2 linked regions of the Anolis sagrei genome follow. The protein of the gene in region 1 interacts with the protein of each later gene in a biochemical or structural test. Links are inferred from orthologs where the notes say so. Each region holds a gene or a part of one and is shown on either strand. Other genes may lie near its edges. The genes, in order: CDC25B and YWHAQ.

What was found.
Region 2: the proteins of CDC25B (region 1) and YWHAQ form a complex in vitro, tested with the Homo sapiens proteins (2 studies listed by BioGRID). The link is inferred for Anolis sagrei from reciprocal best matches to the Homo sapiens genes CDC25B and YWHAQ.

The regions. Positions count from the first base shown.
Region 1 is NC_090025.1:1,198,893-1,209,588, forward strand, and holds the start of CDC25B (M-phase inducer phosphatase 2), read left to right. Parts: upstream 1-5,991; 5' UTR 5,992-6,113; coding exon 6,114-6,208; intron 6,209-10,696. UniProt on the Homo sapiens protein: Tyrosine protein phosphatase which functions as a dosage-dependent inducer of mitotic progression. Directly dephosphorylates CDK1 and stimulates its kinase activity.
Region 2 is NC_090021.1:130,706,819-130,716,913, forward strand, and holds the start of YWHAQ (14-3-3 protein theta), read left to right. Parts: upstream 1-5,395; 5' UTR 5,396-5,656; intron 5,657-9,662; 5' UTR 9,663-9,751; coding exon 9,752-10,045; intron 10,046-10,095. UniProt on the Homo sapiens protein: Adapter protein implicated in the regulation of a large spectrum of both general and specialized signaling pathways. Binds to a large number of partners, usually by recognition of a phosphoserine or phosphothreonine motif.

The sequences.
Region 1 (10,696 bases):
CTGGTCACAGCTGTCCTCCAGCTGGAGCGCTCAAGGGCCAGGGCTTCCCAGTTCTCAGTGTCTATGGCAGAGTTTTCAAGGTTGGCTTTGAGCCCATCTTTCAATCTCTTTTCCTGTCCACCAACATTCCGTTTTCCGTTCTTGAGTTCGGAGTAGAGCAACTGCTTTGGGAGATGGTGACCTTTGGCATCCGGACAATGTGGCTGGTCCAACGGAGTTGATGACGGAGGACCATCGCTTCAATGCTGGTGGTCTTTGCTTCTTCTTCCAACACGCTGACATTTGTTGTCTTGTCTTCCCAAGAGATTTGCAGGATTTTCCAGATGCAAAAAGTAATAACCATCACCATCATCATCATAATCGTTAAATATTTTATTATTATTTGAAACACAACAAGATTGGTACACAGCAGACAAGGTCACTCTGCTGGCTGTTGTTGTCGTTGTTGTTATTATTATTATTATTTGAGACACAAAAAGATGAGTCCACAGCAGACAAGATCACTCTGCTGGCTGTTGTATTGGATCCCATGTCGGACCCTTCCCAAGTATCTTGGACTGTGTGATGTATTGGCAAATAATGCGTGCAGATCCCAGTAAGGTGGCCTTTTGCAAATGGCAGATGGTAATCTTGTCAGCGCCAATTGTGTTTAAGTGCAGGCCAAGGTCTTCAGCCACTGCACCTGGTGTGCCGATCACCACTGGGACCCCCTTGACTGTCTTGTGCCAGAGTCTTTGCAGTTCGATCTTTAAATCCTCAATTTATTATTATTATTTATATTAATTTTTTTCATTTAATTTATTTTTTACTTCTTCTTCTTCTTCTTCTTAATACTAATATTACAAAGGCTGGATGGCCACCTGTTGGCAGATGGCAGATGGTAATCTTGTTGGTGCCGATTGTTTTTAAGTGCAGACCAAGGTCTTGAGGCACTGCACCCGGTGTGCCCATCACCACTGGGACCATCTTGACTGGTTTGTGCCAGAGTCTTTGCATTTATTGTTTTATTATTATTTTTATTAATTATTATTGTTATTATTATTTGTAGTAATTATTTTAATTTTATTTTATTATTTTATTTATTTTAAATAGTAATTTTTATTACTATTAATAATAATAATTTTATTAAATATTATTATTAATTATTTTTAATTTTATATTATTGTTATTTTATTTATGTTTTACTTATTATTATTATTATTATACTATTATTATTATTATTATTTATTAAATAGTATTTATTATTATTATTATTGTTACTATTGTTGTTGTTATTATTGATGGGCTAGGGGTCAAAAAAAAAAGCCGGGTTGCAGCTAAACGTCAAAAAAACCAAGATTATGGCAACAAGAATGATTGACAACTGGAAAATAGAGGGAGAAAATGTGGAGGCCGTGACAGACTTTGTATTTCTAGGCGCAAAGATGAGTGTGGACGCAGACTGTGGCCAGGAAATCAGGAGACGCTTCCTTCTTGGGAGGAGAGCAATGTCCAGTCTCGATAAAAGAGTCAAGAGCAGAGACATCAGACTGGCAACCAAGATCCATTGCCTAGTCCAAGCCATGGTCTTCCCTGGAGTCACCTACGGATGTGAGAGCTAGACCTTCGGGAAGGCTGAGCAAAGGAAGAGAGATGCTTTTGAGCTGTGGTGTTGGAGGAAAGTTCTGAGAGTGCCTTGGGCTGCGAGAAGATCCAACCAGTCCATCCTCCAGGAAATAAAGCCCGGCTGCTCACTGGAGGGAAGGAGATGAGAGACAAAGTTGAAGTCCTTTGAATGCCACATCATGAGGAGACAGCAAAGCCTGGAGAAGGGAATGATGCTGGGGAAAGTGGAAGGCAAAAGGAAGAGGGGCCGACCAAGGGCAAGGTGGATGGATGGCATCCTTGAGGTGACTGGACTGACCTTGAAGGAGACCCTGGGGGTGGTGACGGCCGACAGGGAGCTCTGGCGTGGGCTGGTCCAGGAGGTCACCTAGAGAAGACAATGATGCTGGGGAAAGTGGAAGGCAAAAGGAAGAGGGGCCGACCAAGGGCAAGATGGATGGATGGCATCCTTGGAGGGACTGGACTGACCTTGAAGGAGACCCTGGGGGTGGTGACGGCCGACAGGGAGCTCTGGCGTGGGCTGGTCCAGGAGGTCACCTAGAGAAGACAATGATGCTGGGGAAAGTGGAAGGCAAAAGGAAGAGGGGCCGACCAAGGGCAAGGTGGATGGATGGCATCCTTGAAGTGACTGGACTGACCTTGAAGGAGCTGGGGGTGGCCACGGCCGACAGGGAGCTTTGGTGTGGGCTGGTCCAGGAGATCACCTAGAGAAGACAATGATGCTGGGGAAAGTGGAAGGTAAAAGGAAGAGGGGCCGACCAAGGGCAAGGTGGAGGGATGGCATCCTTGAAGTGACTGGACTGACCTTGAAGGAGCTGGGGGTGGTGACAGCCGACAAGGAGCTTTGGCGTGGGCTGGTCCAGGAGGTCACCTAGAGAAGACAATGATGCTGGGGAAAGTGGAAGGCAAAAGGAAGAGGGGCCGACCAAGGGCAAGGTGGATGGATGGCATCCTTGAAGGGACTGGACTGACCTTGAAGGAGTTGGGGGTGGTGACGGCCGACAGGGAGCTTTGGCGTGGGCTGGTCCATGAGGTCACCTAGAGAAGACAATGATGCTGGGGAAAGTGGAAGGCAAAAGGAAGAGGGGCCGACCAAGGGCAAGGTGGATGGATGGCATCCTTGAAGGGACTGGACTGACCTTGAAGGAGTTGGGGGTGGTGACGGCCGACAGGGAGCTTTGGCGTGGGCTGGTCCATGAGGTCACCTAGAGAAGACAATGATGCTGGGGAAAGTGGAAGGCAAAAGGAAGAGGGGCCGACCAAGGGCAAGGTGGAGGGATGGCATCCTTGAAGTGACTGGACTGACCTTGAAGGAGCTGGGGGTGGTGACAGCCGACAAGGAGCTTTGGCGTGGGCTGGTCCAGGAGGTCACCTAGAGAAGACAATGATGCTGGGGAAAGTGGAAGGCAAAAGGAAGAGGGGCCGACCAAGGGCAAGGTGGATGGATGGCATCCTTGAAGGGACTGGACTGACCTTGAAGGAGTTGGGGGTGGTGACGGCCGACAGGGAGCTTTGGCGTGGGCTGGTCCATGAGGTCACCTAGAGAAGACAATGATGCTGGGGAAAGTGGAAGGCAAAAGGAAGAGGGGCCGACCAAGGGCAAGGTGGATGGATGGCATCCTTGAAGGGACTGGACTGACCTTGAAGGAGTTGGGGGTGGTGACGGCCGACAGGGAGCTTTGGCGTGGGCTGGTCCATGAGGTCACCTAGAGAAGACAATGATGCTGGGGAAGGTGGAAGGCAAAAGGAAGAGGGGCTGACCAAGGGCAAGGTGGATGGATGGCATCCTTGAAGGGACTGGACTGACCTTGAAGGAGTTGGGGGTGGTGACGGCCGACAGGGAGCTTTGGCGTGGGCTGGTCCATGAGGTCACCTAGAGAAGACAATGATGCTGGGGAAAGTGGAAGGCAAAAGGAAGAGGGGCCGACCAAGGGCAAGGTGGATGGATGGCATCCTTGAAGGGACTGGACTGACCTTGAAGGAGTTGGGGGTGGTGACGGCCGACAGGGAGCTTTGGCGTGGGCTGGTCCATGAGGTCACCTAGAGAAGACAATGATGCTGGGGAAAGTGGAAGGCAAAAGGAAGAGGGGCCGACCAAGGGCAAGGTGGATGGATGGCATCCTTGAAGGGACTGGACTGACCTTGAAGGAGTTGGGGGTGGTGACGGCCGACAGGGAGCTTTGGCGTGGGGTCACCTAGAGAAGACAATGATGCTGGGGAAGGTGGAAGGCAAAAGGAAGAGGGGCCGACCAAGGGCAAGATGGATGGACGGCATCCTTGAAGTGACTGGACTGACCTTGAAGGAGACACTGGGGGTGGTGACGGCTGACAGTGAGCTCTGGCGTGGGCTGGTCCATGAGGTCACGAAGAGTCGGAGACGACTGAACGAATGAACAACAACAGGGGTCAAAAAGTAAGTGCCTGCCACCGGTGTTTTTGGTTGCGTCTACACCAGGGGCTCTCAAACTATGGCCCGGGGGCCGGATGTGGCCCTCCAAGGTCATTAACCCGGCCCTCGCTCAGGGTCAACCTAAGTCTGAAACGACTTGAAAGCACACAACAACAACAACAACAACCCTATCTCATCAGCCAAAAGCAGGCCCACACTTCCCATTGGAATACTAATAAGTTTATATTTGTTAACATTTTAATTATTGTATTGTTTTTAAGTGTTTTTTACACTACAAATAAGAGACCAGCAGCCGGCAGCCAATCCGCGCGCAGGAAGGAGGGCAGGCACCCGGAAGTCGGGAAGGAAGCAAAGGCAAGCATGAAAGAAGGAAGGAAGGAAGGAGCGGGTTTAAACCGCATCAGCCCTACTGTGTGGACGCTCCCGAAGACAGGGGTGGCAGGCACTTACTTTTTCACACCTAGCCCCTCACTTATAAGAACAACCACAATAGCAATAACAATAATAAAAAATAAAGTTATTATTATTATTGTTTTGTTTTTCAAATTATAATCCGGCCCTCCAACAGTTTGAGGGACTGTGACCTGGCCCTCTGCTTAAAAAGTTTGAGGACCCCTGGTCTACACAGTAGAGCTGATGGGAGTGATCCTGGACTCATCGCTGAGCCTGGAACCCCAGGTCTCAGCGGTGGCCGGGAGAGCTTTCGCACAATTAAAACTTGTGCGCCAGCTGCGCCCGTACCTTGAGAAGCCAGATCTGGCCACGGTGGTCCACGCTCTTGTCACATCCCGGTTGGATTACTGCAATGCACTCTACGTGGGGTTGCCTTTGAAGACTGCTCGGAAACTATTATTTTATTTATTTATTTGCTGCATTTGTTAACTGCCGCTCTCAGCCCTAGGGCGACTCGCGGCGGTGTACAACATATAAAAAACACATTTTACAATAACTACAACGACAAAAAAAACAACATATCACTAATACACTATCATCTAATTACACTAAAATAATCCGCTTCGTCTTATCATAGAATCATAACCAATCTCGTAGTCTATACAATTAGTCCAGCGAGAAGCAGCCAGATTGCTCACTGGAGCGGCGTACAGGGAGCACACCACCCCCCTGCTACATCAGCTCCACTGGCTGCCGATCCAATTCCGAGCACAATTCAAAGTGCTGGTTTTAACCTACAAAACCCTATACGGTTCCGGCCCAGTGTATCTGTCCGAACGGATCTCCATCTACATCCCACCTCGGAGTCTAAGATCTTCTGGGGAGGCCCTGCTCTCGACCCCGCCTCTATCTCAAGCGAGGCTGGCGGGGACGAGGAGCAGGGCCTTCTCGGTGGTGGCCCCTCACCTGTGGAACTCACTCCCCGGGGAGATCAGATCAGCGACCTCCCTTCTGTCGTTCAGAAAAAAACTGAAGGCCTGGATCTGGGACCAAGCTTTTGGACATTCTGGCAGCTAAAATAAGGACTCATTGATGAGCAGGAATTGTTGGAATGAATGGACATTTCGGAACTCTGAATCTCACTGTGCATGAAATTGTTTTTATTATATTATGTAGTGATGTGTTTTAATGCTGCTAAATGTTTATACTGTTTTATATATGCTGTATATTTTGACAGGCATCGAATTTGGGCCTTTGTTTGTAAGCCGCCCTGAGTCCCCCCTCGGGGGTGAGAAGGGCGGGGTAGAAGTAACTGCAATACATAAATAAATAATAATAAATGATGCGGTTTAAACCCGCTCCTTCCTTCTTTCCTTTCTGCTTGCCTTTCCTTCCTCCCTGACTTCCGGGTGCCTGCCCTCCTTCCTGCGCGCGGATTGGCTGCCGCCTGCTGCTCTCTTTGGCGCTGTTATTTTTCGAATATCAATAGAGGGGGCGTGTCGGGGGCGTGGCTTGGGCTGAGGCCCCGCCCCTTGGGTATAAAAGCGGGTCCTCCTTCCCGCGCTGGCTCCATTCGGCCTGGACTTCCTGAGGAGTCGGTGGGACTGCTGCCGCTGCCGCCTTCCTACTCCTGGCCTGTGTGTTGTATAGGAAGGAAGGCAGGCAGGCAGGCAGGCAGGCAAGGCAAGGCAAGGCGAGAGAAAGCATGGATCCCCGCCGGCCCACCAGCAGCTTGGGTTGGGGCCTCTCCCCGGTGGCCAGCCTGGCCCTCAACATGGACAGACTGGCCGGCCTAGGAAGGTCAGTCTCTCTATTTACATATCTAGATATCTATCTATATCCATCTCTGTATTTCCCTCTGTGTGTGTCTCTCTCTCTCTAAATATCTATTAATCTCTGTTTAAATATCTCTCTCTATATCTCTGTAGATATATATCTTTCTGTAGAAATACCTCTAAATATCAATTTCTCTCTATATTGAATATATCTCTGTCTCTATAAATATATCTCTCTCTTTAAATATCTATTTCTCTATATCTCTATCAATCTCTCAATAAAAATAAATCTAACTATAAATATCTCTCTGTGCCTCTCTCTATATCTATTAATCTCTCAATAGATAGACATCTAATTATAAATAGATATCTCTCTGTATTCCTCTCTCTCTGTTAAATATCTCTCTGCTTAAATATATCTCTATATATCTATAAATATATCTCTATATATTTATATATCTATATCCATCTCTGTATTTCTCTCTCCCCCCTTCTCTCTCTCTATATGTAAATATATATTTCTCTCTGTTTAAATATATCTCTCTATATCTATAAATATATCTCTTTATCTCTGTAGATATTTATCTTTCTGTAGAAATACCTCTAAATATCAATTTCTCTCTCTGTTAAATATTTCTCTGTCTCTATCTATCTATCTCTCAATAAAAATCTAACTATAAATATCTCTCTGTGCATCTCTCTATATATTTAAATATATCTACCTATCTATAAATAAATACCTATTTCTCTATATATATCTCTATCAATCTCTCAATAAAAATAAATCTAACTATAAATATCTCTCTGTGCCTCTCTCTATATCTATTAATCTCTCAATAGATAGACATCTAATTATAAATATATATCTCTCTGTATTTCTCTCTCTAATATCTATTTATCTATATTTAAATATCTATATCTATTAAATATCTCTGTTTAAATATCTCTATATATCTATAAATATATCTCTGTAAATATATCTCTGTAAATATATCTCTGTCTATAAATATATCTCTCCATAAATATATATTTATTTCTCTCTATATATTTATATATCTATATCCATCTCTGTATTTATCTCCCTCTCTCTCCATATGTAAATATATCTTTCTCTCTGTTTAAATATCTCTAAATATCTATAAATATATCTCTTTATCTCTGTATGTGTGTGTGTGTGTATATATATATATATATCTTTCTGTAGAAATTTCTGTATATATCAATTTATATATATATCTGTTAAATATATCTCTATAAATATATATCTCTCTTTAAATATCTATTTCTCTATATATCCGTCAATCTCTCAATAAAAATAAAAATAAATCTAACTATAAATATATCTCTGTGCCTCTCTCTCTATTAATCTCTCAATAGATAGACATCTAATTATAAATATATATAAATATATATAAATAAATATATATATATATATATCTGTATTTCTCTCTCTCTAAATATCTCTTTATCTATATTTAAATATCTCTATATCTCTCTATTTATATATCTATATATCCATCTCTGCATTTCTCTCTCTCCATATGTAAATATATATTTCTCTCTGTTTAAATATCTCTCTATATCTATAAATATATCTCTCTCTATCTCTGTATATATCTCTCTTTCTGTAGAAATACCTCTAAATATCAATTTCTCTCTCTATATATATCTGTTAAATATATCTGTCTCTATAAGTATATATATCTCTCTCTTTAAATAGCTATTTCTCTATATATCTATCAATCTCTCAATAAAAATAAATCTAACTATAAATATATCTCTGTGCATCTCTATAAATATATATATTTAAATATATATATATATCTGCCTATCTATAACTAAATATCTATCTCTCTATATATATCTATTAATCTCTCAATAAATATATATCTAACTATAAATATCTCTCTCCGCATTTATCTCTCTGTGCATCTCTATATATATTTAAATATATCTATATATTTACCTATAAATAAATACCTATTTCTCTATATATCTATCAATCTCTCAATAAAAATAGATCTAACTAAATATATCTCTGTGCCTCTCTCTATATATATTCATTTCTCAATAGATAGACATCTAATTATAAATAGATATATCTCTGTATTTCTCACTCTCTCTGTCTCTGTAAATACATATTTATATTTAAATATCTCTATATCTATCTATAAATATATCTCTTCATCTCTAGAAATATCTCTATATATCAATCCCTCTCTATATACATATCGCTTAAATCTCTCTGTCTCTCTCTCTAGATATCTATCTATATATCCATCTCTGTATTTCTCTCTCTAAATATCTATTTATCTATATTTAAATATCTCTATATATCTATAAATATATCTCTTTCTCTCTCTCTCTCTCTCTGTGTATATATCTTTCTGTACAAATACCTCTATATATCAATTTCTTTCTCTATATATATATCTGTTAAATCTGTCTCTATAAATATATATATATATTTCTATATATCTATTAATCTCTCAATAGATATACATCTAACTATAAATATATATATATATATCTGTATTTCTCACTCTCTATGTCTCTTTGTGTCTCTAAATCTATATTTATCTATATTTAAATATCTCTCTCTATATAAATAAATAAATAAATATATCTTTATCTCTGTAAATATATCTTCTGTATAAAAATCTATATATATATATCAATCTCTATATATCTCAATATACCTCTCTATAATCTATAGATTATATCTATTAACCTCTCAATAAATATATATCTAACTATAAATATATGTATCTATATTTCTCTATCTCTCTGGGTCTCTCTATAAATACATATCTATATTTATATCTATATCTCTTTCAATATATGTCTGTAAATATATCTTTCTGTATAAATATCTCTTTATATAAATATATCTTTCTATAAATATCTATTTCTCTTAATGTCTATTAATCTCTCAATAAATATATATCTTAACTATATATATATCTGTATTTCTCTATCTCTCTATGGCTCTCTCTCTATATATCTACATTTAAATATATATCTCTCTTCCTATATATATATATATATGTAAATATATCTTTCTCTCTCTATAAATATATCTCTATAAATATTTATTTCTCTATATGTCTATTAATCTCTCTCTCTATATAAAACTATATATATATATATATCGCTATATATATCTACATTTACATATATCTATATATCTCCATATATATATATATATATATATATATATATATATATATCTTTCTGTATAAATATCTCTCTATAAATATCTCTCTATAAATATATATATCTTAAATATATCTCTGCTTCTCTCTCTCTCTCTATATATATATATCTGTATTTCTCTATAAATCTCTCTCTATATAAATATAAATATATCTATCCCTCTATAAATACCTTTCTATATTGCTCTCTTTTTCGTTATATAGCTATAAAATCTGTATCACTATAAATATATTTATCTCTGACTATGTATATCTACTTTTATTTCAGTCTCTCTCTATATAAATATATCTCTATAAATATATATATCTGTATCAATAGTTGTGTGAGTGGGGTGCTGGGAGGGGGGGCTCCCCTGTTTTGCAGGCCTCAACGGGGGCCACTCCAAGAGACCCCTTGCCCCCCCCCAAAGGAGTATTATGACTAATAATAACAATAAATATATTGGTATCATTCATATTAATCCTAATAGTATGTTAATAACAACAATAATGATTATATATTTCTGTCAATATACTGTTGTTATTAATGTTAATAGGTTAGTGGTGTTATTGTTTGGCCTTGTTCTGACTCCATTTGTCTTCCGTGGTCATCCGTGTCCTTTCCCCAATTCTCTGTCTCCTCAAACACGTGGGGAAAGTGGCCCAAGCTTTGCTTTTGCAGGAGGGACCTCGCTCACCCATCGCAAGCACATTTGGCCCTCGTTTTGCAATGAGTCTCCTTCACTTCCTTCCTTCCTTCCACGTGTTCCTCTAACCCAGGATGTCGAGTCAGGTCATCCCACGAGATCTGCTTGGAACTGGGTGACCGGAGGCCCCTTCCACACCGCTGGACAAAATCCCACGTTGCCTGCTTGGAACTGGATTCTGTGGCAGTGTGGACTCAGATGACCCAGTGCAAAGCAGATCTGGTGGGAATTTCGGGTGAAGATCCCCCACCAAAACTGTGTGCAACTTTTAAGTAATTGCAGGCTGATTGGAAGGCCAAGGGAAGGCATGCATGTCGAGGAAGGAAGGAAGGTTGCAAGGGTATTATCAGTCACAAAGGGCATCTTGAAGCAATATATATATATATTCTAGCCGTCCCCTGCCACACATTGTTGTGGCCTAGTCTGTGTATATGTGTATTGTGTGTATATATATATGCATAGAATCATAGAATCATGGAATCCAAGAGTTGGAAGAGACCTCCTGGGCTATCCAGTCCAACCCCATTCTGCCAAGAAGCAGGAATATTGCATTCAAATCGCCCCTGACAGAGGGCCATCCAGCCTCTGCTTAAAAAGCTTCCAAAGAAGGAG
Region 2 (10,095 bases), on another chromosome or scaffold:
TGAATTTTGAAATGTCTTGGTTTTTCTCTCTCCACTCCACTTTCACCTTTTGGCCTCAGCTTTCTTCAGTTTCTGCAGGCTGAGGCCCCTTCCACACAGCTGCATAAAATCCTACATTTTCTGCTTTCAAATGGAATACATGGCATGACTCAGATAACCCAGTTCAAAGCAGATATAGTGGGATTTTCTGCCTTGATATTCTGGGTTGTTTGGAAGGGTCCTTAGAGAGGAGGGGAGAGTCTTGCCTTTTCCAGTACATTCAGGCACAAGGAACCTCAAGTGCATCTACAATGTGGAATTAATGCAGTTGGACACCACTTTAACTGCTATGGCTGCATGCTATGGAACCATGGGAGTTTAAGGCTATATTGCCCTATATCTATTCTCTGTTTTGAACTGGATTATATGAGTCTCCACTATCAGATAATCAGGGATAAGAAGATAATTTGGGATTTTTTTTTCATGTCAGGAGTGACTTGAGAAACTGCAAGTAGCTTCTGGTGTGAGAGATTTTAACTATTTTAATATGTGATATTATAGATGTATTTAACTATGTTGTGCTCCATCTTGAGTAGAAAGCAGAGGCAGGTAATAAATAAAATATTATTTATTAAATGGAAACAATTAAAAATAGAACAGCTTTCAAATAAAAGCTACTTCTTCAAAAACATCCAGTCTGCAAAGGCCTTTTTATGAAGATGCCTATTATTATTATTATTATTATTATTATTATTATTTTATATTATACTTATTATTTTACTTGTCTCACCTAAAAATAGGGGGTACTGATATAAGCAATGCAGGTGCTTCTCGCCATCCCAAGAAAGGCACCCCAAATCTTAGAAGCCACCACTGAAAACACATTGTCTTTGTATCCCTACCAAAGAAGATTGCAGGAACAGTTCGGTTTAAACTTCAATGCAGGAACTGGATGCTTAGATCTCAGAGAGATGCTTTGGACTATGGACTGTTGCTTCTAAGGAAAATGCCCTGTGATACCTACAAAGATAAACTACTACAAAATCCTATTGTAACTGGATTCATAAGCAAAGTGCCTGTATGCTGTATACATGAAGTTTTGTGAGTAAATCAACTGTTACTTTTAAAGAAGACTTTATTTTGTCTCTTGAGAGCATGATTTAAAGGCAAATATATTTTAAGGGAGAGTAGATCTTTTTGGGCAACTAAAAAGGAATACTTCTGAAACTCTGCTAAATATATGTTTTTGTTCATTGACATGTCTTTGTCCTTAGCAGTTCAAAGACATACCTAGGTACATCAGTTCAACAGCTGAGAGACCTAGTTGCCTTGCATGAATGCTGGTGAAAGCAATTTTTTTCCCCAAAAGGTTGTGATTTCTAACAAGGTCATGCCTTTCCATTGATGAGTGGATTTCCAAAAAGGTTATGAATCCCATTTCCCAAATGGTTTTGGAGAGTCACATTTTCCAAAAAGGGCGATTGTGCCGGAGGTGATAATGTAGGTAACCTGGCCCCTCAAACTATGGGTAATGTTTATTTTTTATTTATTGTTGATTTGATGTGTTATTATTTGTTCACTTTCTTTTTATGTATCTAACTGCACTTCTTCATGTTATGACCTGCCCTGAGTCCCTCGGGGAGATGGGCCTGGGTACAAATAAAGATTAATATTACTATGTTTTTTTTAAAAAAAATAATGTTATTGAAAATTTTTACATAGTAGGTTGATATTACTATGTTAAGGATCAGTGTAGATGTGTATGTTGTGTTGTTGGACTCAGACTACCACCAGTCCTGGACATCTTCCACTAATGGGTTCCATTTAAAGAATAAAACAAAATGACATCTTCCCTATGCTCTTTATGCAAATCGCATATTTTTCTAGACCTACTCATTCCACCAAGACATTGATATAATGCAACTCAAAATTCTCAAAGTGTCACAAATCCTTAGTTAAACTTACCACAACAACTCCAAGTGATGGGGTATCCTACCTGCTCTGTGACTTTACACAACATACTCATACATCTATATAAATAAAAATGTAATGTTAGTTTGTGGGATTAACATAACTCAAAAACCACTGGACGAATTGACACCAAATTTAGAAACAATAACACCTATCAGGCCAACAAGTGACCATCACCCATAAAAAAAATTGAAAAACACAGCAAAAAATGCTTTAAAAGCATTTTTTTAAAAAAAAAAATACAATGCATGCACAAAACCACATATACAAAAAATATATACACTCATATACACATACAAAATACATATACACAGACTGGGCCACAGCAACGTGTGGCATGGGATGGCTAGTACTGTATAAGAAAGCAACAAGTAGGTAGACCCAATATCCTTTCTAACAAAATAGGGTAGGTTTTTTCTATTTAAGGTAATGATTCTCAGAAGATGATCAATAACAATCCTGCTAATTTTGAAAACACTGATCAGGTTATGTTAAAGATTCCCAAGCTCTCATTTGATTTTTGTTTTGCTATTATGTATAAGAGACACCGTTTTATTAGGCTGTAGGGGCAATGGCTCACCAGAACATGGCATATAATGGGACTTGAGCATCCACGGATTGGAGTATCCACAAAAGATCCTGGAACCAAACCATAGCAGATTTCAAGGGTTCAATATATGCCTACCGAGCCCACACTTTGCACATCAGAGAAAGTGAGGCTGAACCCCTGGAAGTTCATGCCAAATATTATTATGATACTTTTCACCTGCGCTCACAACTTCTGAGGATGCCTGTCAAGAGATGTGGGCAAAACGTCAGGAGAGAATGCTTCTGGAACACAGCCATACAGCCTGGAAAAAATCACAGCAACTTAATTGTTATTATTAAAATGATTTTAAAATATTATTTAATTTAAATATGTTATATTTAAGGTGACATTTCTTTTTTGTTGTTGATGCAACAGATTCAGCAGCCATTACTGTTGCTGTGGACAAGATACTTGGAGGGATGAGAGTGACCGCAGGGGGATTGGCAGAGTGGGTGAAGGTGGTGGTTAATGCCTCCCTTTGGGAAAATAACATTCCAGTGAGCTCAAAACAAGCTGTGATAAAAACTGCTGTTGAAAAAACCATCACTGGACCCCACTCAATTCGTCAACTATCGACCTGTTTCCAATCTACCCTTCTTGGGCAAAGTCCTGGAATGTATGGTGGCCTCACAACTCAAGGTATTCTTGGAAGACATGGATTATCTGGACCCAGCACAGTCTGGTTTTAGGCCGGGACATGGTACCAAGACAGCCTTGGTTGCTTTAGTGGATAATCTACGCCAGGTGCTAGACAGGGGGAGTGTGTCCCTGTTGGTTCTGCTGGACCTCTCAGCGGCCTTCAATACCATTGATCACAGTATCCTTCTGGGATGCCTCACAGGAATGGGCCTTGGAAGCACTGTTTTGCAGTGACTCCAGTCCTTTCTGGAGGGTCGCATCCAGAAGGTGTTGTTGCGGGACACCTGTTCAACTCCACAACCATTGTCTTGTGGGGTTCTGCAGGGCTCAATACTGCCCCCATGTTATTTAACATCTACATGAAGCCACTAGGGGAGATCATCTGGAGTTTTGGGGTGCGGTGTCACCTGTATGCAGATGACATCCAACTGGACTGGATGAGGGCAAACAAATAGAAATTGAATTCAGACAAGACAGAGGTACTCCTGGTCAGTCGTAAGGCTGAACAGGGCATAGGGTTACAGCCTGTGTTAGACGGGGTTACACTCCCCCTGAAGGTGCAGGCTTGCAGCTTGGGTGTGATCCTGGATTCATAGTTGAGCCTGGAACCTCAGGTCTGGGTGGTGACCAGGAGAGCATTTGCACAATTAAAACTTGTGTGCCAGCTGTGCCCGTACCTTGAGAAGTCTGATTTGGCAATAGTAGTCCATGTTCTGGTTACATCCCATATGGACTACTGCAACGTGCTCTACGTGGGGTTGCCTTTGAAGACTGTCTGGAAGCTAGAAATGGTCCAGCGTGCGGCAGCCAGGTTACTAAGAGGAGCGGCGCTCAGGGAGCATACAACTCCACAGTGCGCCAGCTCCACTGGCTGCCAGTGTGCTACCAGGCACAATTAAAAGTGCTGGCTTTAGCCTATAAAGCCCTAAACAGTTCTGGCCCAACTTACCTATCCGAACATGTCTCCCCTTATGAACCTTCCAGGAATTTAAGATCATCTGGGGAGGCCCTGCTCTTGATTCCACCTGCCTCACAGGTGGGCTTGGTGGGGATGAGGGACAGGGCCTTCTCAGTGGTGCCCCCTCAGCTGTGGAACTCCCTTTCTGGGGATATTAGATCGGCCCTCTCCCTCCTGACCTTTAGGAAAAATCTGGCTCTTCGACCAAGCTTTTGGAACCTCATTGTAACCAGATATACTGTGAACGGATATGGAACGACTTGACGATGCAAATGGACATGGATTTAAACCTGGAAGTCATTTTTTATAGTTTTAAATTGTTTTAATATGAATTTTATTATGTGATTTAATGTATTTACGTGTCTTCGGCATCTAATTGTGGCCAGTCTGTATGCCGCCCTCAGTCGCCTTTGGGCTAAAAAGGGCAGGATAAAAGTGTGATAAATAAATCCATACATAAATATATAACGAAGGGCCGCGTTTGCAAGGCAAGGCAAGGGGCGAAGCATCAGAACTCATTAGCTTTGCAAAAGCCTCTTCCTGGCGCAGAGGAAAGGGTATATTGATAGGGATTAGGAGAGGAGCTGCCGCTATTTCTGGATCCCCGCGAGGCCATGGCTGGTCATGCCTTGTAACGTTGCCCGCTAAGCCCCTGCGAAAGCCACCCTCCTTGGCTTTGAAGGCGGGATGCCTGCTCCAATTCCGGCATTTCCTCCGCATGGAGGACTCAAGGTCTTTATCTGCGGCTCGCATTCCTCCCCTGAAGACTTTGACCTTCCTTCCTGTGCTGCTTGGTGGAGGCAGCAGCAGCAACTCAGCATGCATGGCAAACCCTCCTCCTCCTCCTCCTCTCCCGTTTGCTTTTCCCTCCCGCTTTGCAAGGAGCAGCACGAGACGGTGCCTGACTCCCTGCCCTCGCTTCCGCACCGTCTCGTGCCTCGCCCTGGCTCCTAGGGAAGAGCCGCTTTTGCGCATGTGCGGGGGAGAAAAAAAAAAAGAACAAGGGAGAGGAGAGGAGGGGGGTTGTAGCGGCGTCGCTATGGCGACAGTGACGTCATCCCACCCTGGATCTAATTGGAGGAAACCCCGTGGCCCCAGCTGCCGCAAGCACCGGCCAACCGAGCTTGGGCCCTGCTGGTTAGCTTAGTCCTCTCCGCGGCCGCGCGCATGGCTGCCATTGGCCGCCAGGGACCTCGAAGGCGGGGCCCGGGCAGGGATCGCCGGTGCCGATTGGCCGAGCCGCGAGAGCGCGGGCCCTTGCCGCGGAGTGGGTTCGCGCTTTGTGCCAACGCCCTGTAGCAGCGACGCTGTTCCTCGCGCCTGCGACGGGAGCGGCTTTCTGTCTCTCTCTCTCTCTCTCTCTTCCTCCCCCGCCCTCCTCCTTCCTCTCCTTCCTTCCGTCCTTCCTTGCTTCCTTCCTTCCTTCCGAGCGCAGTCGACTTGAGCAGAAGGCGCGCGCCGGCACGGCCTCGCGCCCCCCTGAGACTCAGCAGCGGCAGCAGCAGCAGCGGCGGACTCAGGTGAGGGAAAGGGGTCGAGGAAGAAAAAAAAGAGAGAGAGGGCGCGAGGGCACGTCCTCGCGCCGCGGGTGGCCTCGCCTCTCTTCGCCTCTCCTCGCGGTGGCGTCCATTTTGTGGAGGACGGAAGAGCCGCGGAGGGAAGAGAGGCAGCTAGAAAGAGAGAGACACACACACACACACACAGAGAAAGAGAGGCGGCACCTTCACCACCAGCGCCGCCATTTCGCACCGGCCTTTTCTGGAAGGCAAGGGAGGCGCCTCTCGGTCGAGTGGGCCTTCCCCTGCCCTGCCCGCTCACCTTCTTTTCCTGCCGCCCTTCTGAAGGGAGGTGGGGGAGCCCTTCTTCCTTTGTACCTCCTCATCCCCTTCCTGATCCCCTTGTGTTTCACCGTTTTGCTTTCACTCCTCTCTCCCCTCACTCCCTTTTGCTGTCCTCTCTTTCCGCCTCCTTCCCCTTTTTTCTTCCCTCCCCTCCCCCATTTTCCTCCTTCCCTCCTTCCCCTCCCTTCTGCGGACAAAGATTTCACACCTTGGGCGCGCCCTCCTCTTTCTCCTCGCTCCCTCCTTCTTCTCCCTTCCACACAGCCCTCTTTCCCAGAATATCAAGTCAGGAAATCCCACAATACTTGCTTCGAACCGGGGTATCTTGGGGGCCCTTCCACACAACCCTCTATCCCAGAATATCAAGGCAGGAAATACCTGCTTTGTACAGGGTTATCTGAGGGCCCTTCCACACAGCCCTCTTTTCCAGAATATCAAGGCAGGAAATCCCACAATACCTGCTTTGAACCGGGGTATCTTGGGGGCCTTTCCATACAACCCTCTATTCCAGAATATCAAGGCAGGAAATACCTGCTTTGAACCAGGGTATCTTGGGGGCCCTTCCACACAACCTGCTATCCCAGAATATCAAGGCAGGAAATCCCACAATACTTGCTTTGAACCGGGGTATCTGGGGGCCCTTCCACACAACTCTCTATCCCAGAATATCTCACATTATTTGCTTTGAATTTGGATATATAGAATTGTGGACTCAGATAACCAAGGGCCCTTCCACATAGCTGAATAAAATCTCGCATTTCTGCTTTGAACTGGAATATATAGAAGTGTGGGCTCAGGGCCCTTCCACATTACTATATAACCCAGTTCAAAGCAGATAATGTGAGATTATATACAGATGTGTGGAAGGGGCCTTAGATAACTCAGCGCCCTTCCACACAGCCCTATATCCCAAAATATCTAGTTAGAAAATCCCTCATCTGCGTGTGGACTCAGATTTATATATTTTTTGTTCGTGTCAGAAGCGACCTGAGAAAGTGCAAGTCTCTTCTGGTGTGAGAGAATAAGCTGACTGCAAGGACGTTGCCCAGGGGACGCCCAGATGATTTTGATGTTTTATCATCCTGTGGACTCAGATCACTCAGTTCAAAGATATTCTGGGATATAGGGCTGTATGGAAGGCCCATTACCTTTGAAAGGAGTCTTACCCACACAGTGATGTGAAAGTCACTCTATGTTGGAATCCTGATTTTTTTACTTATTCTATTTTGCCAGGCATTGACAACACCTGAATAGTTCAGAATATCTGCCAGCCTCATATGACCAACCAGGGAAGGGCAGGGTCAGACAGTGCATGGACACAAAAGCCCTTTTTGATTTGGGGCCCTTCCACACAACCATATAACCCAGAATATCAAGGCAGGAAATCCCACAATATCTGCTTTCAGGTGGGTTATCTGAGGGCCCTTCCACTCAGCCCTATATCCCAGAATATCTGCTGGGTTTGAGTTCCTACTCAGATAATGTGCAATTTTCTGCCTTGATATTCTGGGACATAGGGCTGTGTGGAAGGGCCCTAAATTATCTGAATCCACACTGCCGTATATTCCAGTTCAAAGCAGATTTTCTGCCATGATATTCTGGGATATAGGACTGTGTGGAAGAGCCATCAGATAACCCAGTTCAAAGCAGATATTGTTAGATTTTCTGCCTTGATATTCTGGGCTATATGACTCGGTGTGGAAAGGCTCCCACTCCTGGCCTTTCTTCTTGGCCCCTCTTTTGGCTTTATTCCTGTTGCTCATTTCCTTGTTTTGCCTGCCAGGCTTTCCCACCTCAAGGTGCATTTATACTGCAGAGTGAATGCATCATGGCACCCCTTTGTAACTGCCATGGATCAGTGCCGTGAAATCCGAGGTCTATAGATCTGTGAAGCACCTGCCCTCTTAGGCACAGATGGCTAAACACCCACCCTTCTACACAGCTATGTAACCCAGAATATTAAAGCAGATAATCCACGATATCTGCTTTGAACTGGGACCCCTTCCTCACAGCGAATCCCACATTTTCTGCTTTGAACTGGAATATATGGCAGTGTGGACTCAGATAGCCCAGTTCAAAGCCGATATTGTGGATTTTCTGCTTAGATATTCTGGGTTATATGGCTGTGTGGAAGGACCCTGGGTTATCTGGGTCCATACTGCCATATATTCCAGTTCAAAACAGGAAATGTGGGTTTTTATTCAGTTCAGTGGGCCCTTCCACACAGCCCTATATCCTAGAATATCAAGGGAGGACATCCCACATTATCTGAGTGTGGACTCAGATAACCCAGTTCAAAGCAGATATTTTGGGATTTTCTGCCTTGATGTTCTGGGTTATTGGACTGTGGAAGGGGCCCCAGGGCCCTTCCACAGAGCTATATAACACAGAGTATCAAGACAAATAATGCATAATAACTGCTTTGAACCAGGTTATCTGAGTCCACACTGCCATATATTCCAGTTCAAAGCAAATAATGTGGGATTTTATTCAGCTGTGTGGAAAGGGCCCCAGTAAAAGGGCAACTCCCAGGAGTCCACAGGATTGAACCATGCCAAGCAAAGGGGGGTGTCGACTGCATTAATTCAGCAGAATAGACGCAGCCTTTGCCTCTCCCGCACCCGGCTTCCCTATTCTAGCCCTGCATGCCTCTGACGCCCTTCTGCACATGTCTTGCATTCTTATTAAAGGCTGCCCTTGATTTGAAGGCTTGATTCTTATTTCTGCAAATAGCACTCCTCCCCATGACTTGATCTCTTTGCTTCTGATTTACAAAAGAAGGGGCTGAATAGCTTTCAGATGCTGTTGAACTGCAGCTCCCATCCTTCATAGCTATGGATGTTGGGTAGAAATGATTGGAACCACAGTTCAACAGCAACACCCAGAATATCCAATCCTGAAGTAGGGACCTCTGTCCCGATCACTATTTCTAAGCACTGTAGGTACACCTGCACTGCACAATTTATGCAGTTCCATACTTGGTTAAGGGTCATGGCCCAAATATATGGGATCATGGGAGTTGTGGTTTTGCAAGGTCTTAAGCCTTTTGTGCCCAAGATGTCTTGTGCCCCACCAAACCACAATTCCCAGGATTCTACAGCACTGAGCCACTGTCCTTAAATTAATGTCAAACCGCATCAGTTCTACAGTGTAGATGCGGCCTTAATCGTAGCAACACAGTTTGAAGCTGCATTGTATGTGTCTACACCATACATGCACAACCCGTGACGCTCAGAAGTGTTTTGGACTTCAGCATTCTGACCATTGGACTAAACTAGGGCTCCTGGGAGTTGGATTCCCAAACATCTGGAGACCACAGATTGTGCTGGTCTGGTCTACATTGACCATATAGTGCAGATTCAAACTGTATTATGTGACAGTGCAGATCCAGCCGGATTGCTATCTTAGGCTGCATCTGTCATATAATCCAGTTCAAAGCAGATAATCTGGATTTTATATGGCAGTGTAGATGGGGCCTTAGGTGACATCCTCAGGGGAGGAGGATCATTTGACCTTTTCTAAAGCTATGTTTGTTCTGTTCTTGCATCTACATTGGCAGCACTTCACTGTTGCTCTCTTTCTCATTGGCCTGACTCCCCACATCCATAGTAGCTCCTCTAGTTGCTTTGAGCAATTGCTTACTTGGAATGAGCACAGATTTCAGAACGTCTCCTTGTGCTTGCAGGTTTTCTGGTGCCTTCTCTTGACTGTGTGAAAGGCCTCTCTCTCCTCCCCAAGCCAGTTGTCTCGCTGCTTATACTGCTGCTGGCCAACATGGAGAAGACCGAGATGATCCAGAAGGCCAAGCTGGCTGAACAGGCGGAGCGCTATGATGACATGGCTACCTGCATGAAGGCAGTGACAGAACAGGGCGCTGAATTGTCCAATGAAGAACGCAACCTGCTTTCTGTGGCATACAAGAATGTTGTAGGGGGGCGGCGCTCTGCTTGGCGGGTGATCTCTAGCATTGAGCAGAAAACCGATGGCAATGACAAGAAGATGCAGCTTGTCAAGGACTACCGAGAGAAAGTGGAATCTGAGCTTAAGTCCATCTGTACTACGGTTCTGGTAGGTTGGCTTCATCTTACATATTATTAACCTGCTATCCATATGATAGA